Drosophila melanogaster: one gene and its partners. The protein of the gene in region 4 interacts with the protein of the main gene of each other region in a pairwise test. Each region holds a gene or a part of one and is shown on either strand. Other genes may lie near its edges. The genes, in order: cnn, ana1, asl and spd-2.

The links.
Region 1: the proteins of spd-2 (region 4) and cnn interact in a two-hybrid assay, tested with the Drosophila melanogaster proteins (2 studies listed by BioGRID).
Region 2: the proteins of spd-2 (region 4) and ana1 interact in a two-hybrid assay, tested with the Drosophila melanogaster proteins (one study listed by BioGRID).
Region 3: the proteins of spd-2 (region 4) and asl interact in a two-hybrid assay, tested with the Drosophila melanogaster proteins (4 studies listed by BioGRID).

What each region holds. Positions count from the first base shown.
Region 1 is NT_033778.4:13,446,778-13,453,470, reverse strand, and holds the start of cnn (centrosomin), read left to right. Parts: upstream 1-2,995; 5' UTR 2,996-3,112; coding exon 3,113-3,297; intron 3,298-4,070; exon of another isoform or gene 4,071-4,474; intron 4,475-6,142; exon of another isoform or gene 6,143-6,238; coding exon of another isoform or gene 6,239-6,339; intron 6,340-6,693. Other genes in the region: Golgin97 (golgin 97), read right to left, coding at 260-382, 441-680, 736-1,149, 1,445-1,543, 1,596-2,381, 2,473-2,646. UniProt on the Drosophila melanogaster protein: Core component of the centrosome throughout spermatogenesis. May participate in mitotic spindle assembly and the mechanics of morphogenesis through an interaction with microtubules, either directly or indirectly. Is a target of several homeotic genes.
Region 2 is NT_033777.3:24,529,031-24,538,445, forward strand, and holds ana1 (anastral spindle 1), read left to right. Parts: upstream 1-1,545; 5' UTR 1,546-1,755; coding exon 1,756-1,884; intron 1,885-1,961; coding exon 1,962-3,571; intron 3,572-3,648; coding exon 3,649-3,772; intron 3,773-3,828; coding exon 3,829-7,155; 3' UTR 7,156-7,365; downstream 7,366-9,415. Other genes in the region: CG6607 (uncharacterized protein), read left to right, coding at 1-473, 533-622; CG13623 (uncharacterized protein), read right to left, coding at 791-1,166, 1,228-1,271; Cftr (CF transmembrane conductance regulator), read right to left, coding at 7,889-8,192, 8,257-8,953, 9,019-9,415.
Region 3 is NT_033777.3:5,602,736-5,610,179, forward strand, and holds asl (asterless), read right to left. Parts: upstream 3,809-7,444; 5' UTR 3,712-3,808; coding exon 3,595-3,711; intron 3,539-3,594; coding exon 1,706-3,538; intron 1,641-1,705; coding exon 606-1,640; 3' UTR 501-605; downstream 1-500. Other genes in the region: SecS (Sec synthetase), read left to right, coding at 1-195, 255-430; Rga (regena), read right to left, coding at 4,638-4,857, 4,949-5,113, 5,218-5,422, 5,715-6,284, 6,897-7,146.
Region 4 is NT_037436.4:16,590,002-16,596,731, reverse strand, and holds spd-2 (spindle defective 2), read left to right. Parts: upstream 1-1,717; 5' UTR 1,718-1,765; coding exon 1,766-1,850; intron 1,851-1,911; coding exon 1,912-2,668; intron 2,669-2,729; coding exon 2,730-5,328; 3' UTR 5,329-5,525; downstream 5,526-6,730. Other genes in the region: Apl (apollo), read right to left, coding at 1-413, 473-645, 1,133-1,198; tra (transformer), read left to right, coding at 5,689-5,728, 5,977-6,380, 6,438-6,587.

The DNA of each region.
Region 1 (6,693 bases), on a different chromosome or scaffold from region 4:
AATAGTTGAATAGTCTTTCTTTCCTTCAAGACAAATGCACGGATGACTAAGATTTACTAAATGAAAAACGGCATTTTACATAAATGTTAGTTTATTATAAAAATCACAACGGTAGAAATAAATACTATTCAACAAAATGGAATGTTGTTGGTAAACAAAATAACACAGTGCTGCGTATGCAATTGGTATGTACATATTACACGAACGTTATGAATTGACTATAGATTAGAGTACAAATGTGATGTATTGCTGTGGCTACTTAAGTTGGTTTCATGCCAAACCAACTCATCTTCCAATTCAATGTGTCGTGTAGCAGCTTTTCCTCCTCGGTTGTCAATTGAAGTAATGTGGATACGGCACGAACAAGATGGCGAGCTTCCACCTAAAGAAACAAACATGAAATCGAATTAATTATACAGGAAACAGATGAAATTGCATACCTCGCGACTGGTCAAGAACTTAACAATTACGTGTTTCAAATATTGAAAATTAACTTCGTCCATTATGACGCAATTTCCCTTGTCGCCAGTTGAAAATGCCTCCAGCGATGAACTTGAGATTCTGTGACCTGGTGTCGTTGTCGGATGAGATTCACTGTCCGTGGATATCTGCGCACTGCGTAGTTCCTTCTGCACTGTTTTTTTCAAGTCAATCAAACGCTGATTCAGTGTTTTTATTGTCTAGACAGAAAATTGGTTAATAAAATTTGCCAAAACCATTCATAACAAATCTAACCTTATTCTTTTCGATTATTTCCAACTGAACTCGCTCGAATTCGGTCAACTTGTCGGCATTATCCTGTGCTGTGCTGCTGACCTGCTGCAACGTTTGCCGTGCCTCGGATATATCCCTCACCAGCTGATTATTCCTCTCCTGGAGGTCGCTGGCTTCGCTGCGCTCCAAGCGCAGCTGTTGCCGTAAAATGTCTTCGCTCTGGGCGATTTCCGCATTGCGAAGTATTGCAGTCATTTTCTCCTCTCGTTCGATTTCCAGTTGCATTATGGTTTCGTCCAGCTGCTCCTGCTTTTCAGTCACCTGAACCCGTAGCTTTTGGGCCACCTGCTCGGCATTCGAGGAGTACTCGCTGAACCTGTCATCCGCTGCCGTGAGACGAGTCTTGAGATCTTTTACCTCTGTTTCCAAATTTTGCTGAGAACATTCGGTTTATTGGTTTACAAAATCTCCATCAATCAGTTTTGGATATTGAGGGTAAACATATATATGCGTGCATTATTGAAGGAAAAAGTTTACCAAAAAGTTTGCCAACGATTAAATCAGTTTAATACGAAAAGGAAAACATTTACAATCAAAAACTACATAATAGGTGTGGTTGGAAAATTCCAAGTAAACCAGGAGCTTAATTGGTAGAGTTAGTACTGCATTGTTGGTTAAATTAGTGTTACAAGTCCCAATGGAAATCGTCAGAATCGGGAGGCATACTCACAGATTTATTGCGCTCAAAGAGGACTTGCTGCTCGTTCTCCTCTCGGCACTCTTTCAGGGCCACACTAAGTTCATCGATTTCCTCCTCCAGCAGCTTGACCTGCAATTAAAGTGCATAAGTATTGGCACATAGGTATTACTATCTAACCTACCTTATCGTCCCGCTGCTTTATTTCATCTTTGGCTTTTTCGAGTTCGAATGATACCTGCTTGCGGCTTTCAATGGCATCGTCGCGGGATTTAAGGGCCTTTCGCTTTTCGGTGGTCTCTTCGGCCACTTGCTTGGATAGACGACTAACTTGGGTTTCCAGCGCCAGATTCTGGCCACTCCACGAGCCTTTGATGTCCGACAACTGCAGATGGGCCTCCTCTAAGTGCTGTTCCAGCAGTTTATGTTCCCGGATAAGGGCTTGCACTTGTTGCTCGGAGTTCAGTTTGCCCAGAGACTCGAGTCGCGACTCCTCGACGATTTTCATGCGCTTTTTGAGGTGCCGGTTCTCCTCCTGTACAGCCGCCAGTGTTGTGGTCAGCAGATTCTTCTCCTGCTGTGTAGAATGTCGCAGTTGCTCTAGTTCGTCGCGTAAATCTTCGGCCACGGATTCAATGGGACGCAGACGTTCTAGTTCCTCGCTCAAGGACTCGATTTGCTGGGTCTGCTGGCGCATGAGACCCATGCGATCCACCGACTCCTGCTCCCGAAAGCTAAGCAGATTCTTCAGCTTGTCAATCTCGATTTGCTGTAGATTCTGAATCTTCTCCTGCTCCTCGCAGTATATGTCCTTCTGCGTCTGGGCCACACGCACACTCTCTAGCAGAATCTCGTTGGTCTTGTCCACGCGCGTCTTCTCCTCCTGCAGCTGCTGCAATCCCTGCGTGACGGTGGACAGCTTCGTGGTGAGCTCGTTGCACTGACTTCGCAGCTCGCACAATTGCTCCGACTGCGAAAAGAGTGAAGGTGTTTGTTTATCCGTGTTTTTGTTTAATGTGTAAGTATACACAAATAGACTGTTTTTTTTTCGCTCAGTTTACCTCATTGTAGAATCCGCCACCGCCCACATCATCAGCTGAGTTGGAATTAATGCTAACGCGGCGACTACGTAGCCGGTAATTGTTGTTGTTGTTGCCGGGATAACGTTGATTGGCTGATTGGACCACATCATCGCCAGTTTCCTCCTTGATCTTGTTTTTCAGTGTAGCAAACATTGTTAGGTTTTTCGAGGGGGGAGCTTTTTCTCTGTTGCGCTGCTCTATTTTCTGTATGTGTACTGCCCCCGACTGAAGTTGGCCTGCTTGTGGCTGGGGCTGACGAAAACGTGCCCACAGAGCGTTTATAGCATGGCGTTATATCTGGTGGCCGTAGTGTTCTACTTGCTTATCAGGCGAATGCTAATTTTCGTAAACCGTCGATGTTGTTTACCATCGATAAGAATCGACTTTGCAGTAACGTAAATCGACGAACAGCGTTGCCATACCGCTGTGTTAACTTTTTCCCGTTGTACGGCAGTGCTGCCAGTGCGCATGGCAGCATTTCGATAACTGACGCCAGAAACAGCTGTTCCAGCGCGCTTCATTTTCCAAACAGAAAAAAAGTGTAATTGTTAGCGTCCTTTGTGAAATTGTCAAGTGTTAGAATTATTGTGTGCGAAAGTTAACTATTTGAGGACCTCCCATGGACCAGTCTAAACAGGTTTTGCGGGACTATTGCGGCGACGGCAATGGTACCTGTGCATCGTCCTTGAAGGAAATCACCTTAATTGAGACCGTGACCAGTTTCCTGGAGGAGAATGGCGCCGCCGAAATCGACAGAAGGGTCCTGCGCAAACTAGCCGAGGCACTGTCCAAAAGCATAGACGAGTAAGTCCAAAACACTAGCATAAACAATAGCTTACCAATAAGACTTGTGTGGCAAATCCATCGAAATCCCTGGCAACTGCGAGTGCGCAGCAGATGATCGCCATGTGACATGGTGATCGTGCCCACTGTGATCGGGAACTAACGCTCTCAGCTGGAGCTCTCCCGCATCCGTACTGCTCGGCCCCATAGGGGGAGGCATACTCACAAGCACAGGCGTACAATGGGCGTATTACCCACCCCAAAAAATTCGAAGAGAGGAACAATAATACATCTGCACTGAAAAAAATTTTAAAGCTAAATTTCCATCAATATTTATTTTAAAATGTTTTTTAAAAACATTAAGTGATTTGGATTAATTTACGATTTTAAATGAAATAAGATTTGTAAGGTACTCTTATAAGATGTACTTTTATTTTTAAGATTGTATGCTTCATCACTTTTTCAAATGCTGAATAGAGTCAAAGTTTAATACATTTTTTTATTATAATCTTTAGATTTACTATTACTATTCTGATTCCTAATGAAAATGAAAATTTAAAAGAAAAAGAATTGGGAACACAAATGTAATCCCTTAAGTATACAACAGATATTTCTGTATTCTATTCGTAGCCAATGAACTGAGTTTGCTGACCGCTTTCTCGCTGTGTACGGCATTGGGAAATGCGTAACATCTGCTGAGCGCATTTTCCTTTTTCCTCGCAGATGAGCCCGAGTTTTCCGCCCGTTTGCTGCTCTGCCTTTGGTCGCTCTGAATCGGTCGCATCGCAGTTTCAGTCAGTTATGTTCTAGCTTTCGGTTTATTTGGACGTGCAGAGAGCGTTTTTCGGTTTATTTTGCTTGCCTCTCGGCTATCAATCGTGCCATATGTACATACATACATATCTATATACTCACTTACCCATATATACATACATATATGTAAATAGAAACAATCAGCGGGTCAAGCGTTGTGCGGGTGTGTGAGTGATTGATTGTACATACATATCTGTACATAAGTGCAATTGTTTATATTGCACTGCGAGATACAAAAAGTGATAGATTGATTTGTAATTTATTGCATTCGTTGCTGTGGATAAGCGATTAGTGGGATGCTGGTGGTTCTCGGATGAAAAACAAAAAACCAAATCGAAATACACAGATATATAAAGTACAAAGTGTGCTCGGATTTACAATAAATGTAATATATACTTAGAAATACTAAAGATATCTGTGCTTGTGCCCCCTGATGCTGCTGCTGCTGCTGTTGTTGTTGTTGTTCGTTTGTCGTTTTTGTCGCCACGATGCTGCGGCTAATTTTAGTCGGAGAAAAAGTATACGAATTAATTTGTTTGTGAAATAGAGCATTCCATGGCTCAATCGACAGCCGCAACAACCTATATCATTATCTGCGTTTTCGCACTTCCTGGAACTCTGAATTTCGTCACAAGTCGTCTTATCAGACTGCAGTTTCGTCGTATGCTCCATGTGTGTGTGTGTGGGTTAGTTAGTTATATACACATGTGCATTCATCAGGGGTCATGGACTCGTGGAATTAACCCCTATGGGGTAAAAACCGAACAGAGCACCTCTTTTGTTGCCCTTCCAAAACTGCAACGCTGACTTCCCTACCCTCGAAAAACAAAGCATCCTGGTTGGTAAAGTACAGTATCGTTTGTATGATATGTAATTTGAGGGATCATAAGTAGAATTTATCATGCAAATGGCTCATTTAGTTTTGTTTTTATCGCATTCATTTAAATTTAAATAAGGAATTAAAAAAAAACACACTTTAGTCATAATTTAATTGAGTAATGTTATATTTTATTTCTTATTCAATTGAAATTTCCTTTCTAATTTTGAACAATAAACATCTTGCATATTTTATGAATGTTTTGATTCGATTTATGAATATGAGTGACATTTGACATCCTGTTCAAAAGCCTTCAAGATTCAGTGCGTCCTTCGTCATATGGTTATTGTCTTAAGATGCTTTCCTCGCATATCACTCGCTATAGTCTCGATCCACTTCTGTTTATTGTTATTGTATTTCTTTGTTGATTAAGGCAGGCGCCTTTGTGTGTCGTTGGCCATAGTTTGACACCCACTCGAGGCGCGCCAGGCAGCCAGGTAGATGAGTCGCGTCTGCGTTCCAGGTGAGGTGAGAATGGGCTGTTAACTGCAGTTTACCTGTCGATGTGAGGGCCCTAAAATGCATTCGCGGCAAAGTTCAGGTGCTAAACGAAGAGACACATGTTCCGGCACGGTTCAAAATGCACACCTGTTGTTCCCAGTGACCAGGTCGCTCAGCTGTCGGCTTAAACCATTGATTTTCATTACCACCATAGTAACCAGCGATAGCCGAATGCCAAAACAAAACAATGAGTGAAAATGTTTGGCAGAATTTTCTTGTCCCGTTCACAAATTGCTGTTTCTAATGCGGTCGCCGTTTTGCTGTTTGCTCAATTCCCAAAATAAATAACGACCAGAGGCGGTGCGTGGTGCAGTGTATGTGGTGGTTAGTATCTTCAACGATGCGGTGGCCCACATGTGCCGTCGTCCAACCCCCCGTCCTGTTGGGGATGCATCCCGTCCGTAGGAGCGCCAGACTCTTTGAAGACTCTTCTTCCGCTCTACGGCTGAATGCTCCTGATTGCTGCTGCGCACGTCGCATCGCCCAGCAGCCCATGACTCATGGCTGCCCGTCCCTTCGAAGACGACATGGCGGATACGTAACGAAGTTTGGCGTGCGCCGCGAAAGTATTTAGGGAATAAAGCCAAGAACAACAACAACAACAGCAGCCGCAGCAGCAGCCAGGAATGACGTGTCCACCCCGTGTAAAAGCAACTAATTAAATCTCAAAATTAGAGTCGCTGCAAATATCTACAGAAGAGAACTGAAGGAAAGTGAAAAGAATATAAATAAACGCTAATAAGAGCGCAAATGTTAAATGAAACATAGAATATGGCGGGTATCTTTCGATCTACCTCACTAAATCACTCGTCGGATGTACCTGGCACCCCATTCAAGAGATACTCTCTGAATTCCAACAACTCAACATTCTGGTAGGTTATGTATTCTATAATAGTTGGGCTCACTGTATGTAATCTATAGCCCCCCTCCCTGTTCCCCGATTCACGGCGGATTTAAGGCGCGGAAGTGTAATCTCATCCATTGCGACTTGTGGTTTTTGGAAGTGTGATCATTCAAGTGTGACTTTAGCTGAAATTTAGTTCACAGCGCAATTGGGCGAAATCGAATAAAAAGAGGTTGATTGCCGATTTGGGCAAATATTGGGTGTGTCTACAATTGATAGAAAAAATGTACGTTGCGGATCATAGTTTTAAGACGCTATTCATAAGGATTTTTATATCGATTATATGGATTTCATTTTAAAACTTAACTGGAAATATTTCGAA
Region 2 (9,415 bases), on a different chromosome or scaffold from region 4:
TACACAATCTCCAGCAGCAGTCGAATAGCAACCAACTCACCTCCGAGGATCGCATTGCGCTGCTCGAGAAGGAGGCGGCGCATTGGAGGGCTCAATTCGAAGTGGCCAAGCTGCATCAAGCATTTGTCTCGAACCCCAGCAAGGATCTCAGCACGTGCAGCTGCAGCACGGCGGCGGCGGGCGTCACCGTTCGACCGGCAGAGTCGGAGGCGAAAGGCAGCCAGCGGGCGCGGGATTCGCTGCAGGATCCCCCCGAACCGCCCACCAAGGAGCAGCTCATCTACAGTGTGTTCAGCAAGAAGTTCGAGGATCTGATGCGACTGAAAGTGCAAGCGGAATCCAAGTTGCGATCCTACGAGCTGGAGGTTCAGCACCTGCAAAACTGCCTGGAGAACGCAACGCACGAACTTAAGGCCAAGGACGATCAGTTGGCCAGTTTGGGTGGAGCCCTGCAAATGCTCGAAGAGGAGTTGGTGAGTTGTGCCTGCAGTTTTGTGCTCTTAGAACCAAGTGACATCTCGGATTTCCTTAGACTACGACGCGTATTAACTACGAGGAGCAAATCAGCGTGCTGACGGAGCAGGTCATCAGCTTGAGTGACCAGCTGGCCGCCTGCAAATGAGCATGGACAGCGGCGCGCATCCCGCCCAGCTGCTTTACTGTATATTGTTGTAAAATAACTAACTGGGAACGCCCGCTCCCCCTCTACCCTGTTTTGTTATTGTCCACCCTCGACGTGTATATAACTGAACATTCTATGTGTATTAAATAATTCTCTAAAGTTTAAAGTTTACAATTTGATTGAGAAGGAGGAGCCGCAGGAGCAGCCCTGTTCCGCCAGCGGATTGGCCACCATCCGGAAACCGGCGCGTATTAGTTCGCTATGGTAGTCCACGGTGGCGCCGCTGCAGTACTCCAGCGAGACTGTATCGATCACCACCTTGGCCTCAGCCTCGCCAAACTGTCGGTCATCCTCGTTCAGCTGCTTATCCAAATCGAATTTGTACTGAAAGCCGGAGCATCCGCCTCCTTCGACGGTCACACGCAGGAAAGATCCATCCACGCAGATCTCACGGAGCCGTTTCAAGCAGCTCTCGCTCACCTGGACACTAAGTTCGGGATTCGCGGATGTGGAAGCGGTTGCATGCCGCATTAGGATTAGATTTCTATGGAAGATCAAGCATTTATTGTGGGATTTGTCACGCAATTTTTCCTAGCTTATTTCACCTTTGCAATCCGCTCCTGGCCACTTGTCGCAGTAGGAACGCCATAATTTTACGATTTCACAGCCAAAAAATGTAATTTCAATATTTCTATTTACTATCTCGTAATCCAAACAATTTCAGCTGATTTCGCACGATAACGATAGGTGTCGATAGTTCGATACATCCCAACTGGGCCATCTAGGCTTGTGTACATGCTGTTGTGATGTTTTCGTTTTCAAACTGAGTTTATTGTCATGTAGCTTTCAAATTGCATTCATTAAATTTTATAATTTAAAAAAAAACACGTAGTTTTTCGATCATTTAATTTCCGAATTTGTATTGTGCCTTGAGTGCGTGCTACTTACCAGCTGGTATATTTTAGACGCATGTAAATTCTAGTACATTCAATTATTCATCTACGGTCACACTGCCGCTTGGGAGGAATTTTTAAAGACGTTGGGTTGTTTGATTTTACGCTCAAACTTGTTTCGATTTCTACTGCGTAAATGCTGCCCCACATACGAATTTATTACATATATCGATAGAGCAGATGGCTCTGCAGCTAACAGTAAATGGAAAGTTCGGGGCCAACCTGAGGAGGACCATAGGACCACTGGACGATCCAGAGCAAGTACGCAAAGATCTCGAAAGTGAGCGTCGCATAACCCGTTTGAAGCAGGTAACTTGTCCCTTGGGTTCCGAGCCCATTGCGCAGTAATTGTAACACAAAGCGTGACCACTTAATTTTATAACCAGGTGCGGGAGAAGTCAAACCACCTGGCACGCCAGATACGCGAGGATGTGGCTGCCGAAAAGAGGCGTCAAATCCACAAATTAGAGCAGGTCAAGCAAAGGGAGCTAAATGCGTGGCGTGAGCATGTTTTGGTCAAAAAGCACCAGGACTACCGTTCGGCCATTTTCCAGGTGGGCGCCGCCCATCGCGCCGCAAAGGAGGAGAACGAACGCATCGAGCAGCAGAGGCAAGAGAGAATCGACAAAATCCGAAGGTGTCGCAAGCAGGCCTTGAAAAGATCGGCTAAAGCCAGCGTTGAGTTGCGGACCACAAACACAATGAATTTAAATGCGGAGGGACGTGCCTCGGCGGGAACACAAACGCCCATAGTGGAGGACAAAGAAAACCGAATGGAGAGCGGGTGTAACAAACCCTGTTGCAAGGGCAAGCGCAAAAGGAAAACCAGCTGTGGATGTGCCAGCACCGATGCAGAGGATGAGAAGGAGGATGACGCATCGTCCGATGACGACTCATCCATCCTGATCATCGAGAGTCCGAGCAGCAACCGGCGTCTCCAAAAAACTACCCCCGTAATCCTAGACGTAGAAATCGAGGAAACCATTTCTGAAACCGACAAGAATCCCGAGGGTATGGATATAAATGATAGGTTCATGCAAACCAACCGGAAATTCAGCCATGTCGTGCGACCCAGTGATGATGAACCCCAACGCCGGCCGAGATTCACTCAGATCAGCGATTTGGTAAGAAAAACCGAGACCACCGTACGAGCTGGGCCAAGTCAACGAAGGGAAGCAGATCCTACTCCACCAGTATCTGCCCCGCCTAGTCCCACCAAATCCCCGCCAAGATCGCCCAGAAAATGTGTAGAGCGTGAGGAGCCCGTTCCTGCTCCAGCACCCAGAAAATCACCCACTAAAACAGCTAAAGGATCGCCGAAGAAAACTGTGACGGCACCACGTAACCAGCCATCAGTCAAAAGAACGGGTTTAAAATTAAATCCAGCTCCTGCCAAGGTGATAGATGCGGGAATACACAGAGGTCAGAAGGCCAAAGCTCCAGCTACGCTGCCCAAAGTAACAGCTATACAGAAACCAGCAGTGGAACCTCCTCGAAACCTTCCACCGATTCCAGAACAGGCTATGCCAGCTGTGCCAAATCCGTCGATGACCCATTGTTATCCCATGCCGCAGAATCAACCATACATGCATCCGTATGCTCAACTTCCGATGCAACCATATGCGATGCCATATTCAATGCCATTTCCCGTGCAAGCCCAGTTTCCACAACCTCATCCGATGTATGCACCGCAGCAAATGATGCCGAATCAGCCAGCTGTACTCGGTCCCGCTATTACTGCTCCACCGAGCACTGCTACGCAATCCACTGTGTCCACCACCACAATTACCATGTCCTCGCGACAGGACCCAAGGACGACTCAATGTGGGCGTGTTCAGTTCTATGATCATAGCAATAAGTACCATAGAACGTACGAAGCACCAACACAGTCGGTGCAGTGCAATGAGAAGGATGCCACCCAATTGACCGCTATGGATCATGCTCGCATCGAGAACCAGCTGAGGGATCTGCGGGAACAGGAACTGGACAAACTGAGGTAGTAGCCAGTAAAAGAAACAGAACACAGAACTTATCTTAATGAATCAAATTGAAATCAATAACGTATTTCAATAGGAAAATTAGTGACGATCGTGGTCAAAAGGCTCTTGAACGCGAGCAAGTGCGTCGGGATTGTGCTGAATTAACGGAAAAGCTAGATGCTCTAACGCAACAGCAACCGCAGCTCTTGCCAACCGATGTAAGGAAATCAAATATTTTTCCTCTTTAAATAATACAAACTCATTTTCCCACCAGGCTAACATTATACCTAGCCATCGGTACGCGGATGCAGCTGCCAGGCGAGAGCAAAAGATGAACGATGCAATGGAAGAAATGCTGCTTCGACCAGCCATTATCACCTGCCCGGAAGTGCGCACCAAACCTACTCCTCCAAACTTATCGCGCAGCAAATCCAAAGCTTCTGTGGCAGTTAATTTGGGCGAACCTCCTGTTCAAATCGGCCGGGATAATCTTGGCAGCTCGGAGAGCTGCAGCTCCATTCTTCTCGACTACGTTAATGATCAAAGCAAGCAACTCAAGTCGGACCTGCAGGCCGAGCAGTCAAACTCACTGAAATCGATGAGGCTAAAGAGTTTGCTTGAGCGCATTGAGAAAATTCGAGTCCAGCTGTTGGAGGAACTGAAGGCGGGTGAGTCAGGTGCATCAAAGGGTGACAATGCACAGGAATTGAATAATATACGTCAGGAGCGAGCTGATATTCTATCCGAGCGAACGAGAACTTTAAACGAACGAGAATCTGATTTGCAACAGAAGGAGGCTATTCTCGAGCAGCGTCTAAGAAAGTTCTACAAGGAGACAAAAAACGCAAAATCCAGTGAGAGTGATAAGCCAAAATCAAACGCAAAAGAAGATGGGCCAGTTGAGATCATTATTAAGGTGAGGAGTGACGGTACTGTTAAGCAATATGTACCGAGAACAAAATCGAAAGCCAAAACCAAGCCGTCGGCTATCGACAATGAAAAGGATGTGCCCCTGGGCTCAACTGACAGCACACCAAGAGACGATGAGCCAAAGCCGACGGAACAGGATCACGGAAAGCGACCATTCTTACAGGATCAGCGTCAGATATCCATTGATTCCAACTCCACTGCCTATCGCAGTCTGCCGCCAGTGAGCTATAAAAATATGACCACGGCCGCTCCCCCTTCTGCTCCATTACATCCCATGGTGGTTCAATATATAAATCGTCTGCTAGGAATGACACGCCAAAATATCGATGAGATGGGTGTGAGTTCCTCGTGTGTGACCACACCATCAACGTCGGTGATCAACTCATTGAGAAACGTAACCCCTTGTCCCGAGCCTGAAGCGGGAAGAGCTGAAAGGGATCAGGATGAAAATACGGAGATGAACGAGCATCGCATGGAGCGGGTGCAAACCTTTATTGCCGACAATCGCAGCTTAATCAATGACTTGGAAGAATCAATACGTTGCCAGCAGCAGCTGCAAAGGGAGCAACAATCGCTGGATGCAGAGAAAAGTATGCGCGCATTCGATCAAATATGGAACAAGCGTTTGGCCAAGAATCCTGAAGATTGTCAGCAAACCAACAAAGAGAAAGAGCAAACAAGAGAAAAGATGCCAAGGGAAAGGCCGACTCCACAAGGAGATAGGAAAAATGCAGCACCTCCACAGGAAAGCGGCAAAATTCGTAGAACTCAAGAAGGGGACCGGCAGCAGCAAACAAACGGTGCAGTGCAACAAAAAAGGGAGCAAAAGACTGTAAAACAAGGTTCAGGCGCCGATAAAAGCACAAACCGCTTTGCCCCCGAAAAATCGAAAGCACTATCCACCAGTGAGGAGTCATCTGCCCGAAACATGGAACGCTATGCACAGCTCACGGAGAACTGCACCCAGCGGATCGCCGAACTTACAGAGCTGATCACGAAAGTGCGCGAGGAGAAGCAGCGACTGGTGGAGGTCACCCTCACATCGAACAGCGATGGCGAGCGGCAGTCCACTGAATATCTTGAGCTTCCAACAGGACAACAGCAAACCAGATGCCGGACAATTTCCGATCGCAGCGATTCTCAAACACCTTCGACCTCGGAAGCCTTGCCGTTGCAGAAGCACAAGCCGACAGCGGCCAGCAGGGATAGTGGCATTGCGGACTCACGTCCAATTACGGCACAGGGTCAGGTTTGTATCGATGTGGAACCCATCTCGCTTGGGTCATCAACGCAGAATAATACAGCACGCGGACGAGTAAGGGCACCTCCGGCCACGATTCGTCGGTATAGTCCTCAACTAAACGCCGAGGATCTGGCGCACGAGCTGTCGACCATTACAGAAGTGGAAACGCCAGGACAATCACATATTGTGGCCGCCACACCGGTGCCCAAGCCATTCCCTAGTTTCGATCAGTATGCCAAGGAACTGCACTTAGATCTGTCGCGGTTGGATGCTGATCAGAGCCAACGGCTGCAGGGCGAATTTAATGACTTAATACTCGCGATCAGGCAACGCAATCAAGGAACTGACTACCGTGAGTTTCCTAGCATTAATGCCTATCTTCATAACATGACTAGCACCCGAATCCATGTGGAGATAGGTCAGGATGCAGATCAGGCCACTCTGTCACCGGGTGAACTGATGCGACAGCTGCGCGTGATCACTCATAGTATCCAAGACTTTCCCAAGCGCAGGGAATACTTTGAAAAACTTATGGCCAAGCAACCACCCGATCAGAGGGATCTAATAGACAGTGCTAGCTTAGAGAATGATTCCACGGATTCATTTAACGTAGAGGAAGAACTCCGCCAGCGGAAAATTCTAAAGAACTCATTTCGTCGAGGAAACGCAACTGAGACCACATTGACGGCTCAGGAGGTGGCTAGCAGTACGCGGCGGGAAAGCGTCGCCCCAGTGACCAACGATCAACCCAACGAGAGTGGCATAGATCCCCTCTCCGGCAGCAACTTTTCCAGCGACGCGGATCAGAGAAGTCCGTGCTGGCATGCCACAATGCATGAGAGGCAACAGCAGGTGGATGAGTTGTGCAGCAGTACCACAGCCTCGTCGCCAGAACGGCGGCCACGAAAGTCTCGGCTTCGTGGAGGCCACGAGCACAACAATAGGTCTAAGGACGATTCCACTGTGCAGGATGCAAGCCAGATAGGAAGATCCCTTAATCTGAGGGAATTCCTTACGAGAGAGCTCCTCAAACATCGAGTGCACGACGACGTTGCCAGTGAGAGTTCAGATGAGTCCTTAAGGGGGCACTTTCTGAAGTCGGTCCTACATTCGCTCTCGCCCAGCAACAACACGCAAACGCCAGGAGTGGGTGTAAGCCATGCCACCGGAGCAACAAACGACAGACAAAAGACATCCACACCAGTGGGATCGTTCCTCTCCATTCCAGAGAAGGCCGGGTCCATGAGTAACACCGGCTCTCAACTGTTCTCCGGGGAGAGTCGCATCTCCCTGGTTAACTATCCAGATGGAACTCCACCCATTCCTTTTGAACAACAAAGCAAACTTAGTACAAATCAAACTCGCCAATCCTCAGGTCAAATAGGATCAGGTGTCAGGACAACGCATCGAAAGTCGCCCCGAAAATGATCGCCGAACTTTTAATTCGTTTGTTTAGGTTTTAGATTATATTATCCATTTTATGACAATTATTTATATTTTACTTACTTTGCAATTTTGTGTCAAAAAATGACTATCGAAAAAGATTGTATAAAATTTACTCAATAAGTTAAATGTACAATTTTATTACCAATTTGTGTGAAACTTATTTATATTTTAATAAACCCGACGATTATTTATTAAATTTCTATCTAGAGTTTCAAGTACAATATTTCGGTTGTATGAATATAGACTTGCAGTAATGTACACAATTTATAAACAATATATATATTTGATGGTCTAACTAGTGAGTAGATTAACCCACTGATCCTTTGAGGACCTCGGTGTTTCAGTTCTGGTCCGGTACCAGAATGTAAGTAGCTTTTGTCATGTTGTAAGTAAACATCCGATTCACTGGCGGTCTACAATAGGTTGGTGGACAAATATTACAACGTAGTCCCTGGTGGAGATTACATCTAAGTACAATACGTATAAGGCAGTACACATTCTAGACTTTTCGTTAACAAACTTAACTAAACTAAGGAAATGAAACATTGATAACATAATATGTGTATGTGCACAAGAAAATCATTTTGGTACGGTTTTTGTTTTGGACAAGATTCCTCTTCCATTGGGAGCCCAAGAGTTGTAACCTTGAGCCATTATAAGCACCAGATTTGGTTAAATGCGATTTCCGATGGATATTTTTTTGGGCCACCGTTTCTCACTCCTGGCTCTCATCCTGATCGCGATCTCGCTCGTCCCGTTCTCTTTGCATTCTTTTGTGGCTGTCACTGGCCGTCTTCTTCAGTGCTTCCGATTCCCCGCCTGTGGCCTCTACCATTTGCCGGAGATGTCCCTGTGACTTCTTCAACAGCAAGTACGGCACATCGAATTCCACGGCGACACCAGCATCCATTACTATAATCCGATCCGAATCCATGACTGTGTGCAATCGATGGGCAACGGTGAGCACTGTGCACTGCTTGAACTTGATGCGTATGGTGCGCTGGATCAGGGCATCGGTTCTGCGAGAATAGATGGGTTAGAAGTTAGTTCTGGAGATATAGTAACTTTCGTTCTAGGACTCACTGTGGATCCACATTGGCCGTGGCCTCATCCAGTACCAGCACCTTGTTGTTTCGCAGAATCGCCCTGGCCAGGCAGAGCAATTGACGTTGGCCCACGCTGAAATTGCCGCCCCTCTCCGTTACCATGTAGTCCAGACCGGGAATGGCTTTACGCAGCTCCACATCTTCCAAAGCGCTCCACAGCTCAGCGTCGGTATACCGCTCGAAGGGGTCCAGATTGTAGCGGATGGTAGCGGAAAACAGTACCGGATCCTGGGGTATAATCGAGATGCGGGTGCGCAGAATTTCCAATGAAATCGTTCCCGTCTCTATGCCATCGATAAAAATCTCTCCCTCGATGTGAGCCAATCGGAAGAGAGCTCCAATTAGCGACGATTTCCCAGCTCCTGTACGTCCCACAATGCCAACCTTCCAGCCCGCCTCGATGGTGAGATTCAGGTTCCTAAGCACCGGCGATCCATTTGGATCATAACGACAGCTCATATTGCGGAACTCCACCTGACCGCGTGTGGGCCACTGCTGCGGTGGCGTTTTTTCGCCCAGCGCCGGCTCCTGCTCCAGTTCGGTGTATTGCAGGACGCGCTCCACGCTGGTCATTTGCTGCAAGGACTCGGCCACTTGTCGCACTCCATATTGCACCATTCCGGTTAGGATCATGGCCTGGGCAATGGCCAAGCCTACGTTGCCGCTATAAGTGGCTAAAATTAGAAAATATACCTATTAGTTTTGTTCTTTTTAATAACTTATTTCTAATAGAACTCACTTTCACTGGAGATAATGAAGCTGAAGGTGACAGAGGTAAGGAAGATGCAACTGACACAGTCCAGCCACAAGCCTAAAGTCGTATTCACTGCCATGGTCAGCTGCCACACGCTACTGTGCACATCCTGCAGCAAATCAAACTCCTTGGCCACCACATCCTGCAACTGGCGGGATCGAATGATGGCCAGACCCGTAAGGGAAGCACTGAGATGGGAAAACACCGGACTGCGGCATATGCCCTCCAATCGCTTGAGATCCTGCGAAGGTCTCAGGTACAACTTCAGGATGAGCACATCCACAACGGCTACCACCAACATGGCGGCCACCAAAACCGGATTCAGTATACCAATAACAATCAGAATTCCAAACATCACCAGAGCGATCTGTATAAAATCCAT
Region 3 (7,444 bases), on a different chromosome or scaffold from region 4:
CAGAGCCACGCGGAGAGATTGTTATAGACAGCAGGTTTAACTCCATATCCTTGGCCATAACATTGGCCACTTTGGCTGGGGATCAGATGAAGAGCATCACCAAGCTTGGCTCCATGCTACACATGCGTGGAGTTTCCGGAGCAAGAGTGATAGTTCCTGGCCAAAATAAAACTATAGACGGGCATGAGTTTCTAGGCAAGTAATATTCACTATCGTCTTTGTTTTCCGACTAAAATTTAGAATATTTCGCTTAGATTTCGGCTCCCACCGCAGCAACCTGCAAGTTCCGTACCTGACTGTAGCGGCAGGAATTGGAATAACCCGAGAGGAGATTGACAAATTCTTCGACATTTTCAACAAGTGCTGGAACCAGATTTTTCAAACTAAAAATGAAAAAATTATGAGCCTACTAGAAACAACAATCAAATAAAAAACCTATTTTTTAATATTAATGATAAACTTTCACTTTTTTAGCTGATTTTTATAAGCACAATTTTGTTAGGAATGTACAGCGACTTTTATTTGTTTAGACAATTTGGCAGTGCATGCAGTAACGATATCCCACTAAAGAGACCTACATATACATATATATATTTTCCTAAGTCTTAGCTGTGACCATTGCCTTTGGGCTTTCTATTTGAGTTGGTGATTGGGTCGCTGCTGCTATTGCTGGGCACGTTCTCTTTGTCGCGGTGCTTCTCCCGACTCCGCCGCTCCAGGTGCTGGTTCATGGTCGCCTCGATCTTGGCGAGTGATAGCTCGTACTCGTGCTTAATGCGCTCATACTCGCGTTTCATGTGCGCCTCCTTGTCCTCGGCATACAACTTGTAATTGTGGGCGGTACGCTTGGCACTTTGATATCGCTGCTGTGCGGATCGCATCGCCTCTTCGTGGGTGGAACGCAAGCTTTCCAGCTGCTGGCGCCAGTGGTGTTCCACCTGGTCGACTGACTGGCGCTGTTTCTCCCACTGAGCCATCACAGCCTTCATAGATTGCCTTTCGGAGTCGATGCTGGCGTGCTGCTCCTCCACTTCTCGGAGCAGTTCGGCAATTCGCTGGTTCTTCGCTTGCAGCTCCTGGCGGCACTTCTGCAGCATTTCCTTTTGCTTTTCTTCCCTGCCGGCCAGAATTTCATCGATATTCTCGCGTTCTGCCAGGATAGTTTGCTTTAGAAGATCCACCTCCGTTTGCCGCTGTTGCAGCTCTGCACACACCGTTTGGTATTCCCTTTGGAGGCACTGGCTCCTCTCCTCAGATTTTTGCAGCCGGTTAGTAAACCTCTTGAGTTCTGCTGCAAAAAGTTTGGCCATCTCATCACGAACACGTTGTTCGATCAACCTTATCCGATTCTGGGTGAGCTCTTTGGGCGATGGATCAGACGGGGAAACTGAGTTTGATTTCGGACTGGGCGTACACTTATTCTGCTGCTTATGCTCCTCTTGCTGCCTAATGTACGCCTCGAATTGCTTGGCCCTCTCCTTAAGATCGCTAATGAGCTCGTCCTGCTTGTTTGAAAGCTCGATCTTTTCCTGCATCTCGGCTTGCAAATTTTTAGACTGCTCCAGCGCGTGTTCCAATTCTTTCAGTTCCTTGGCCTGCATTGAGTTCACATTCTGGAGTTTCAACAACTGAATTTCCGCCTAAAAACCGTGGTGATATATAAGATTATTTAGTTTACTAGCATGTCTGAAAGGTTATCGCTTACCTTGGTAATTTCTGCTATGCTTTCAATGCACTTGCTGCAGTTTTCGGAACTTTCTTTGGCCACCGCAACTGCTTCTTCGCGCTTTTCCCGCTCGCTCCTTTGGCGCAAGGCCTGCAGATCACGTTCGTGGCTGAGTTTCTCCGTTTCCAGAAGCTTTTTTAGCTCCTCTGATTTCATCTCCGCCAGCTGCAAGTTTCGCTGAACAGTGGCCAAGTTTTGGCGTTGATCCTGCAACTCCTTAAGCGTGTCCGATTCTCTCAGCTTTCTCAATTCATAGCCTAATGACTCTTTGTCTGTGGCGATGTCAGAATAGAGTTTCTTAAGCCGCTCGACCTCGCTCTGGGAATCCCTCAACAGAATCTTGTGGCGTTCCAGCTCCAAGCGCAGGTTGTCTGCAGTTTCTCGAGTTCGCAACTGCCGATTTTCCTGCGAAAGCTGATCGTAATTTCTTTGAAGGCTCTCGTTCTGCTGCTTTAGTTGCTCCAGATCTTCTTCAATCTGCTGCCGTTTTTCCCTTAGTGCATCCCTCTCGGCCACAATGGAATTCAGCTGTGAGTGCACATCTGACTCCTGCTGTGATCTGTGTTTTTGCTCTTCCAACTCCTGCTGCATTGCCTTCACTTTGTTTTCCAACCGCATTTTGCCTTCGTTTAGGGTTTCCAGCTGAACCAGGGATTGGTTCTCCTGGTCGCGCAGCACGCGCAGTTCCTGGTTGCGTTCCTCCAGGAGCTTCTCTAGGCGTCGCACTTCTTCCCGCTTGTTCTTCAGGTTGCCCAGAGCTCGATACAACTCCTGCTTAATGTGACCGACTCTGTCTAGAGGATTCAGCGGTGTGCTACCAACAAGGCGCGATCCACCCATTTGACTTAGCCGACTAGTAGGCGATTCGTCCGCCTGATGCTGTTGAATAACCGAATCTATCAGGTCAAGTTCCGTGGTGGTTTCGTTTAGGCGCTCATGGAGCGAAGCGACTGTTTGCTCCAAATAGGCAATGCGGGCTTTCAAGTCAACGATGCACTGTTGCTGCCGACGATTTTCAGCCTGCAAATCGGGTCTTGCACTTAGTTGGTTGCAGCGCATTTGGGCCTCATCCAAAGCTTGACTGAGCTCGTTAATCTTGGCAGCCTTATCTACGAGCATTGTTTCGTGACCAGACTGCAGAGCATTGTAGCGCGAGTTTATCTGATCCAACTCATTTTGCTTGCGATCAAGCTGATCCTTCATCTGACAGAGTTGCTGCTGCAAAAGATCGGACTGGGCTCGGTGCGCTTCCTCCATTTGCTTTAAACGTAGGTCGGCGTTCCGCTCCTCCCACTTCTGCTTACTGGCCTGCACCATGTCGTATTTGCTTTGGACGTCCGTAAGCAAGGTCTTGGCGGCCTCTAATTGACCAACTAATCGCGTGTTATCTTCTTCCAACTGCTTCTTTTCCGACCGCAGCTTGTCCAGATCGCTGTCCTTATTGGAGCACGTCTCTTTGGTCTCCACCAACAGCTCGTGAGTGTTCTGCTTCTCGCGAATGGCGCGGTCTAGCTCAGCCTGCATGATGGATAGGTGCTTTTGTAAGTCATCCAGTTTTTTGTGCGCAGCGTTGGCCACCTGGTTGACATTCTGCAGCTCATTATTCTTAGACTCCAGCAGGATCTGGAGGCGATGCATCTCGATCTCGTTGGCTCGCTGAGCATCGTCCTGCAGCGGTTTATGGTGCGGATGTGATGGGTAGTTGGGTAGAACTGGCGGCTGTTCCAGTTCCGACTGGTAATTCGTCGTCGAGTCGATTGTGTTCTCTTCATCGAGCAGATCGTCGAAGGCATTCACCATAATCCGTCCAAGCTTGCGTAGAATTGGAATCGGTGACATTGTTTACCAGGAATTCCCAGATCGCTTACCTCTTCCTCGCGTCGTTTCTGATCCTGCAGCGCCTCTTCCTCCTCCTGCCGGTCCAGTGTAGAATTTATGTTAAGGGCATCCGCCCCCTGAAAGAGGCTTATACCTGGCGTGTTCATATTCGGCTAAGGGGACGCCACAAGCATCAAATTCAAATAAATTCCGAGGCGCAGGCGCTATTTTCGTAGGCAACTCTAATTTTCTTCCTCTTGCTTCTGTTGACACTTTGACATTAACATAGTAACGCGTGCTGTTAAGTGCAGTAAGCGCTTCTGTAGCGAAAACATTGCGTTCACACTACATACAGTCTAGAAGGGAATTAGGTTTTTATTCTATACTTGTACATAAACTGTAATTGTTAAATTTAAAAATAAATATTTTCCCAAAAAGTTGCCGATATGTCGAAAAGATTGTGGCCCCGACAATAGACCTGCCAGGCATACACAAGCTTGAAGATGATATTGTATGTATGTATTATCATGCCAACTATGGTTCCGTCGTATCATTGATAGGGGGAGCTGTTGTGCATTGCAGAATGCAGTAGATTTGCTATTGGAATATACATACATATGTATGTCGTGTTAGTCCAGATGACAGGTATGTATTTTCAGACACGGCCAGTAATTTTTTATAGGATCACTTTATAGAAAGAATTTCTTCTACCTTTCAAATACATTTCAACGAATCGAAAAAATATAACTTGCTTTTTAATTTAATGGGAGTCCGCTCATTTCATAATATCGAACAGCTAAAAAATGTTACATTTCAAAGATATTCTAAAAATATGAATACCAACTAGACTCCAGCAGGATAAAAATAAATCGCTTTAAATTGTTAACCGGCAATTTGTACCAGAATTTGCACATACATACATATGCATATATGTATGTATATATATCCTAACACCGTTTTAGAAGAAAAACTCAAATGGATTGTTTTTAATTTTTATAATAAAACTTATTATTCAGTTAGTGTTGAGTGTCCTTGTTGCAATGCAAAAACAACAGCATACTTTCTTTTTCAATTTTTTTCATTTTTATTAATTTTATACAGACTGTCCATTCATAAACGCACTTATATTGGGACATTTATCTAATTTCTCGGGATCTATTTGGAAAACCTTGGACAAACGTTTCCAACTTTGCGCATCAAAGTAGTAGAAGGTGCCGCGCTCTTTTGTACCATTTTTTTCATATTGATCAATGCCAGGAATTCGAGTTATCCATATTTTCTCCTCCACGTGGTATCGCCACTCGCGACTATGCCTGCGATGGGAGCAGAATTTTAGTATATATGTATGTTCTATATATGTTCATACGAAGCTTAGATAATAGCTACGCAAGAGGAAGTACTCACAATTCAGCAGCTGCCATCAATTGCATCATATCGCCGATGTTCGTGTAAAAAAGGAAAAAGAGCAGGTCTTCTTGCAGCTTTTTCAGTACCGGCGCTGTTAGTTTGTCTCTTATCGCAAAGTTAATCAGATATTCGGGTGGCACGTTGAACTCAACGTCTTGTGCTCTGAAAAAAGTAAATGCAAATCCAATGTTACTAATTTGGTACACCTCTTACTCAATAGTACTCAATAAGCAATTAAATTATGTAAGTTTATTATGTAAACTGACCTGCAGGGCTGTGCTACGAAGGGGCCAGCGAAGGTTGTATGCAAGCTCTCCTGCGAGTTCAGGTTCAGGCCTAAACCCGTGAGATCCGTACCCAAGGAGAGCGTCACCAGATTGGGATCCGTTTCTGCAGCCCGAATGAACGTCAGCAGGCCAACCATGCCGAACTGGTTGTTCACCATGGTCGCTGGTATGTTTGTGACCTTCCCTATTTATGCAAAACGAACGAAAGGTAAATTTGTTACATTTTTAAATAAATAAAATATTTCATGGTACTATTATTTCTGGATAAAATGGGTCAAGGATAGTATAGCTGTTGGGCTTTTGTGATGTACACCGAAATCACCGAATTATAATATGAAACAAATAATAATAGAAACCAAGAAATCCATTGATTAAATGGTATCAATCATCCATAGAGTGTTCAATTCAAAGCTCCAAATGATCAAAAGGTCAAAAATAGCTCTCTCACATGTTGTGAGAAGTGTTCCAGCACTCACCATCTGGCGAAGTTTGCACGCCGCTCTTTACAAGTTTATCGTTGCTGGAATTATCGTTCAGATGCTCGCCGCCCGCTCCGCTCCCAGACGAGCCGCTTCCACTCCCCAGGCCGCCGCCTACGCCCATCATGGCATTGCTGTTGGGTACGCTGTTGACGCCGCCAATGCCGCTGTTACTGCCCACCAGTCCTACATGGGACCCGCCGACAACGCCGCTGGCTGCATTGCCGCCGACTCCTCCGCCTCCTGAGCTACCAGCTCCTCCGCCGCCGCCTACTGCCAAGCCCCCTATACCACTGCCAACGGCACCGAGACCATTGCCGCCTACAACGCCGACGTTGGAACCGCTGCTGCCGCTCGCTGATCCGCTGACCACTATCGAATTCATCGGCTTTTCCGTGCCGTCCAAGTGGTTCTCTGTGGACGCACCTCCGGAGCCTCCTGTTCCGGCGACGCTCCCCACCGCGTTCGTTGTGCCGTCCGAGTTTTGGGTGCCCGGTAACGCAGGGAAGTCCTCGTTAGACATCGTGAACTCCGATTGCTCTGACGTCGGTTGCTTCACCATGCCAACTGAAATCAGAAGAGGAGCGAGATGGTCGCCCAGGGCGAATGAGTGAAGCGAAGAAATTAGTACTAAAGCAGTTTAAGCTCATACAATACACACGATTTTAGTTAATTTCTTTTTCCTCAACCAATTAAAATCAATGAGTAGGTCCAAACAGCATTTGTTCAAGGTTTTAAGACATGTTACTGTGAATTTAAAGTTATCCTTCACCTATATATGAACTTATAAAAGGTTAAGTCGCTTGCTTTATGTGAACAGTTTCTTTTTATTCATTGATCATGTTTCAAAGTAAATGAGATTGCATATAATAATATGTTTGGAGTATAATCCGGAAACACAATTTCATTTCAAACTCTAAATTGCAAAAGCTCTTCATGGAATCAGAAGCCCGTATTCGGTTGGACCAACGTAGCCAAAGTAAATGTCCTTGACTGAATCTAGTTTTTGCAGCGTTTGCCATACCCAAACCAACACCCGAGGTTAGTCCCAAATACAGCGTAGCATATCTAAGTGGGCTTAATGAGCTGATCACGAGACACCACGCTTACAACCGATTCTTAATCGTAGTTTTAAAAACAAAAATAAATAAAAAGAAGTGGATTTTGATTTGAACTCACAAGAGGTAAAGAAATTACCATAGGGTTTGCTGCCCGGCGGCTGGAGCGGATTCGATTGGGGCAGTGTCTGGTCGTTCTGGCCGCGCGCATTCGTCAGCGAGGGGAACTCCGTGGGATCGAGCAGGGCAGGCGTGGAGGTGTCGCTACCACCGCCGCCGCCGAACACGTGGAAGTTATTCAAAGGACCGCCACCGCCTCCGCCCGTTCCGTAGCCGCCGCGACCCGTCTGCATGAAGTTGCCCATGTTCGACTGCGGAAAGAGATAATGATTAGCCAAGTCTTAACAATTTATTTTTAGAATTAGGACTGACATCTCCAACTCAATCTTAATAGAGGGTATATTTTTTATGTAATGTGAAAGCATTTGTAACTTCTGAAATTAATGTATATTCCGTTGTATCAAAAATATTTCCTTTATATAAATCTGATCGATCAGCGATACGATTCTCTGATGCAATCCGAAGTATTGAAGTACTAAACCCACAGTCAATGGATATAGATATTGTTATATGTTTTACTTTGAGTATCTTGGACAAGACCGAGTTGGA
Region 4 (6,730 bases):
GTATGAGCGGCACAGCCTTAACCACAATCTGCTCAGCATTACTATGTCCACTTACGAAAGGCAACAAGAAGCATGAACCGGTCAGCATGTTATGCACGGTGGGTGTGGCCATGTTCCCATTCGCCTCGGCGGTAACTAGAATGCCGGCAAGCAATGGGAACATAGTATCCGTGTGGTCCGAAAACTGATCGGGAGCAGCGTCCATGAGCGAGGAAAAGATTGAGCTGCCCCGCTCGCTTTCTATTGGATCGGGGCTGCTGCAACGTTCGTAAATAAACTTCAGTATTTCCTCCCTCCAGGAGTTTTGCTCGCCCTCCTCGTGGCGCACCAGCGATCCAATTATAAAGGCCACCGTGCCCTTCACGGTCTTTTCCTTCACCGCGATGAGGACCTGTAGCATGTTCGATTTGATTCTAAAAAACATGCATCCGTTACTGTATCATAGTCATTAAAAGGTAACCAGTTAACTCACGCTGCCTGGTGCTCGGCGGGAACCAACTGCCAGTGGCGTAACTTTTTGACCCGCCTCTTGAGGAGCACGGCGGCGACCTGCCGCTCTTGGACCGGCCTGTCCGACATCACGATCTGGGTGAGAACCAGCAGAGAATCGGGATTCTCGTAGGCCTTTAGCATCTTGGCTGTGGACTAAGGAAGCGAAAGAAATGGAACTTTATTAGCGACTTTTATGGCCCTATGCTATCATGCTATCAACATAAGTAATTTTTCAATTAGGAAGCGACGAAGTGTGCGTCCATTCGAGCAATGTAATGGTATATCCACGAGTTTAATGCAAATAAAAATATAATATTAATTAATTATTATTAATTATAATTATTTTTATAATTTTTATAATAATTTTTTTTAATAATTATTATAATTATTATTTATATATAAATAATTATTTCTAAAAAAGTGCAATAGTTTTCGGAAGTTTGTTCTGATCAAATAGAACATTAAACATTAAATTAAAAAAAAAAAAAATATTATACACCTATTTTTACAGCTAAGTGTGGATTCAACTTAACTGATCAGACAAACGTGAAGCAGTCAGAAAGGAAAGCATACATGAAAGACATCCATTGGCGCCCAGGATAACCTCCTTTCTTATTGCCGGATGGCCCGCTTTGCTCACCTCACGGATTCGTTCCGTGTCTATGGTCAGGATCCCGTTGATTATATCCAGAATAGCTGCCTCCATTTTTGGGGAGTTACTGTTCGCGCCCAGGCGGATAATCCAATGCAATCCGGTACAAATTGCAGACGACGTTACGCGGTATTGAGAATTGAAAAGTGGAATACCGGGGAGAAATCCCCGTCGCACGTTTTGCGCTTGTTGCAGTTTACAGTTTATCGTAAGCTTATTTTACATTCTACTCTTGAATTGGCTAGCGGTTATCATTGCGGTTTAACGAGTGGGGATGTAACGTAAATTTATCTCGCGCAGTTAATTGGTGACTTGTGTTAACATTTTTCTTTAATATATGTATTTATGTTTTTTTGTTTATTATATATGTGTATTTATGTTTTTTTGTTTATTGTGGAGTTTTGATATATGCGCTAGCAGCAGTGATGCAGTAGAATACTAAAAATATTTACATTTTTGACATTTGATCGACCGGACAAGTAAGCAAAGGCCGCTTCGACACTAGTATGCAGCCCTGGATCTTTTATCATTTATCGACGTCCATTTTTGATCGAAGCGACGCGCCTTTTTTTTGTTTTCGCGTTCGCACTGCAAACTGTAACTGTTTAAGGACAAAGCGGAATGGACAGTAGCAGTGGAAGCCAAGGAAATGGCAGTTTCATGGACCAGAACTCGCTGGGCATCCTGAACATGGACAATCTAAAGGGTAAGCAGGTGGAGCACGCCGGAAATAAGCCGAAGCAGCAAGTAATCCTCATTCCCTACAGTCTTCGGCGACTTGTCCAGCTTCAGCAAAAGTGGAAGGAGGAGCGGCACTGGTCGGGACTCTCCCGCCGTCCACGAGCGGCTCCGAGAAGAACGACTGCGTGCGCTGGAGACACTGGAAAAGCCCCGACCGTCGCGTTCCAGCCAAGCAAAGAGCACTGCCCTCCAGATGCGCTTGTCCACAAACATCTCGGAGCTGGTAACAGACGACACCATCGATCTGAACAGCAGCAGCTCCTTTGCTTTGGTCACGCCCGCCACCAAGGGCACAAACATCTCTTTTGAGCCTGCGGAGATCACCGGCAGGTCCACACTCTGCCAGGCGGGAAAACAGCGCCGCAGGGAGAAGCCATCCCTGTCGGTGGCCGAAATTCTAAAGTCATCCTTCGTTGAGAAGGCTCGCCTGTTGGAAAGGAAGCTGCAGGATGCCAGTCAGGCGGAGGCCAGCTATCACTTATCACGTGGCAGCTCCAGCAGCCTCTCAGATTCATTCAACTGCTCGCGCAGCTTACCGCGCACTGCGGACATGAGTGAACTGAGTCTTAACGGAGGTGGGGGATTTTCCTTTGGATCTGCCTCGTTGGCGGCGGAAGGCCAGGATGAGAGCTTTGCTCCCGCCGAGCTAATGCAGTCCAAATTGGTGCTCGGTGAAATCTCCTGGGCGCAGGAGTTCACGGCCATGCCGACGGCCACGTTGAGCACACAGGCGTTGAAGAAGATTGCCGCACCAACATCCGAGATAGAAACCTCGGTGTCCAAGTAAGCAACATAAAATAGTCTTCCAAATATAATTTGATCAACTTTCAACTTTTATTTACAGTTCTGTCTTGGCCGGAGATCCAGACTTTTCGCTGGGCAACTACTTCCAGACGCGTTCGGAAAATATATGGAACATTGTGAGCAATAGCAGCCCGAATCGTTCGCGAACCAACCAACCGCTATTGGAACCAGAAAGTAACGTGACACTGGATTCGGTTGGCGAGAAGACCCCACAGCCAGACAATAAAACATACACTAAAACGGATGCCATAACTGGCTCGAATCTCGGACGCAATCTTATGCGTAAGATGCAACAGGATCGGATTGAAACTGCGCTAAAGAGCAGGAATGGTCTGGCAGCCAAAGAGACCAAGCGTCCGCCGTCGAGCTCCGAGATCCTAAGTCTCTCCGCGATCGACAAGGCGCTAAGGGACATAGATCTCAATTCGGATACATCCACTGTAGAGGTTGTCAACCACCTGTGGGAGCATGGTCGTGGAAACAATTATGACGATGGGGAAAACAAGGAGAACCAGAGCAGCAACTCCCATGCGGAGCGCACTTCGTGCGGCTCCAACAAGCTTACCGACACCATGAGTTTCACGGACTCTGTGCTAAACTCAACGGATTTTCGTCATTTGCAGCAGAGCATCTCGCGCAAGCCGCTCAGTCCGCTGGCGGACCATCCGCAAATCACCATCAGCCGTGCGGACACCGATCCCGTAGAGACAGAAGCCGAGGCGGACATCGATGAGTGGCCCTCGACGCCGGTAAAGGAGCCTAGCCGCAGAGTGAGACGTACTAAGATTTCTCCAAGAGCCGCAAGTCCGTCGAGTAGCGACGGCGTACGTCCACTGACCTGCACCGAGGATGAAAACGATGAGGAGGACGAGGACAAGACGCCAGTGAACAAGAAGAGGGTTTCGATCGCTACAATGGGCTTGATTCCGCGCAAAGCCTCCTCCTTAAGCAGCACTCGCTTGGATGGTTGTGACGTTGCCGTGGCCTCTTCTACCGAACGTGATTTTGGCATTTCACCGAACCTGGCCAAAAATCTATCGCCCCTGTCCTCGCCAAGAAGCTGTCTCTCGTCGCCGCTGCTGGACAGCACAACCAGTTCCGACCGCCGGCAGCTCATGAGTGGAGCAGCCCGCAAAGCAAACTCCTCGCCCGCAGGTAGTGAGGCCAGTTCCACCAGCGGATTCACAGCGAGTGGAAGACGTGGGTTGGGAACCAGCTCTGTTGCAGTGCCACGTAGTATTTCGCGCTGCTCGAACTCTAGTGAGTTCAGTCATCGCGATGGAAAACTGCTCCCCCTAAAGGTGACCCACACGACCCTCTGTTGGGGAAGCACAAAGCTGCGGACAGATGTGCGTAAGTCCATGCAGGTTAAGAACACAGCGGACAAACGGCTGGTCATTCGGCTTGGCATCCAGGGACCCGGATTCCAGCTGGTGGGCACCGACAGCAGCACGATCACACTCCAAGCCATGGAATGCCGCTCGGTAGTGATCAACTTTTGCCCCACTGTCTGTGGAGCGGCCATCGGAGCCTTGTCTTTCTATGCACCACCAGGAGCGCATAACAGCAACCAGCCGGGCCTAGAGATTCCGTTGTACGGCTACGGGGGCAGTGCGTCCATCACCATAAACGGTCTGCTAAAGGGACCGGTGGGCGCCAGTTTCCTTACCATCGGCGATGTATGCGAGCTGTCCGCTGGTCCGCTTTCGGCGAATCTCAAGTTTCACAACAAGGGCCCTCTCACCGCTTTCGTTGGTATATCAGTGGACTCCACCGTGCTCATGAAACTGCGCCTCAGCGAGGCCTTCGAGGTACGTCCGAGCCGCTTGATATTGCCGCCAAATAGCGAGCGCTGCGTGCAGATACTTTTCCGACCGAATCGTGAGGACTTGAAGAACATACTTAAGAAGACCGCACAGGTGTTGACCCTGGCCAATATGCGGATTTTCTGCGGAGACGAGCCCAACAGACAGCGTATGCGTAGCTTGGTCCAAAGGATGAGCAGCCGACAGCGAGAGAAACTCACATCGCCGATGCTGGACAGCATTTGGGGCGAATTTCCGGACGAGCAGCCAGTGCGCAACATCGGTCAGCTGAACGAACCGCCAGAGTTTATTCTGGACTTGGTCACAGTAGTGCGGATTATTGATGTTGCGCTTACCCTCAATCGGGACTTTGATGAATCGTCTGAGAGTTCCCTGATGTTCCTGCCGGAGGCCGACGAAACCGTGCTATTCCGCACCATATGTGTGGCCAATTCGCCGACGCCAACGCAGAGCCATCTATTGGAGCCAGTGGATGAGCTATTGGAGGCGGACACCACAACGTTGACGCCCGTCGAGCAAAACTGGTGTGTGCAGCCAGGTTTGCTGGAATTCGGAGTGGGCTGTTCGCCACTGGCCACTTTGTCCGTAACCAACAGCTTCTGCTCCAGGCAGCTCATCGAGGTCACATGCAATGTGCCCGATTTGGTGCGAATCAGTCCCAGTGAGTGCTACGTATCCCCGGATGGCGGCCACGCGGAGATCGATGTGCGCCTGCTCCGCTCACCCAGGCAGGATTTGCTCGAAAGGGAGCCGCTCATTGTGGTCTCCATGGAAAACGAGCGCATCAGTGTCCCGATTAGTTTTAAATTTTAAAATTTGTTTTATTTGTGCCTGCTAATTCTGCTTTCCCTATGTTTGTGTAGTTAGTTTAAACAAAAATTGTATTGTGTACTTGTGAAATGAAACCGTGTTTGCAGAGTATTTGTAAGGAAAACGCATAACCCTAAAGTTAAAATACTCGCTTGTTTCCTAAAAGTTGAATTTAGCTTAAATAAAAACTAATAAAGTATATGAGTTAATTTTAAATTTTGATATGTTGCTCTCGAATATTCAAAAAGTAACGTATATGTAGCGATAGTTCGTCGAAAAGTGAGTTGGCGGGCACATTGCAAGGTGCAAGCCGAGTACGGTCACACTGAGGAAAGTGCATCATTTAATTTCCAGCATTTTCCGATGAAAATGGATGCCGACAGCAGTGGAACCCAGCATCGAGGTACCCACTATATAGTATAACCGATCTGATCAGATTCTGATCCAGTGCCATCTTTTTGTTGTTTTTTTTCTAGTGTCATATTGTGTGAAATGTGAAATGGATGAGAATGAACGCTGGACGACCAGACAGAGAAAGAGAAGCTAGGACAATAGGACTCTCAACTGCGCATTACGTGGATTCCGTCTCCGACGATGCGCCAAACACTATGCGTTAGATGCATTGACTAACCGCACACTCTTTTCACATAGATTCCCGTGGCTCAAGGTCTCGATCCCGGCGAGAAAGAGAATACCATGGGCGATCAAGCGAGAGGGACAGCAGAAAGAAGGAGCACAAGATTCCGTACTTTGCAGACGAGGTTCGAGAACAGGATCGGTTGAGAAGATTGCGCCAAAGAGCGCACCAATCCACCAGACGCACTCGCTCCAGATCCAGATCACAGTCGTCCATCAGAGAGAGCAGGCACAGAAGGCATCGCCAGCGCTCTAGGAGCCGCAATCGCAACCGAAGTCGCAGCAGTGAACGAAAACGCCGTCAACATAGCCGAAGTCGCAGCAGTGAACGAAGACGCCGTCAACGGAGCCCGCATCGGTATAATCCTCCGCCAAAGATCATCAACTACTATGTGCAAGTGCCACCACAGGATTTCTACGTTAGTAGTTATTTGTATTGAAACAAATAACAAATCTAACTTAAATCGATTTTGCAGGGGATGTCTGGTATGCAGCAAAGTTTTGGATACCAAAGGCTACCACGTCCTCCGCCGTTTCCACCGGCCCCCTACAGATACCGCCAGCGACCGCCGTTCATTGGAGTTCCGCGATTTGGCTACAGAAACGCGGGGCGTCCCCCATATTGAACATACTCCATTCGACATAATTACAAATTTATTTACATTCGTGTGTTTTGTACATTAAAATAATAAATACATATATATTTCAAACTAAAAATGGAGAACATAAAATATTGCAAACGGAGAACGTTGATTAAATCATGAGCAAA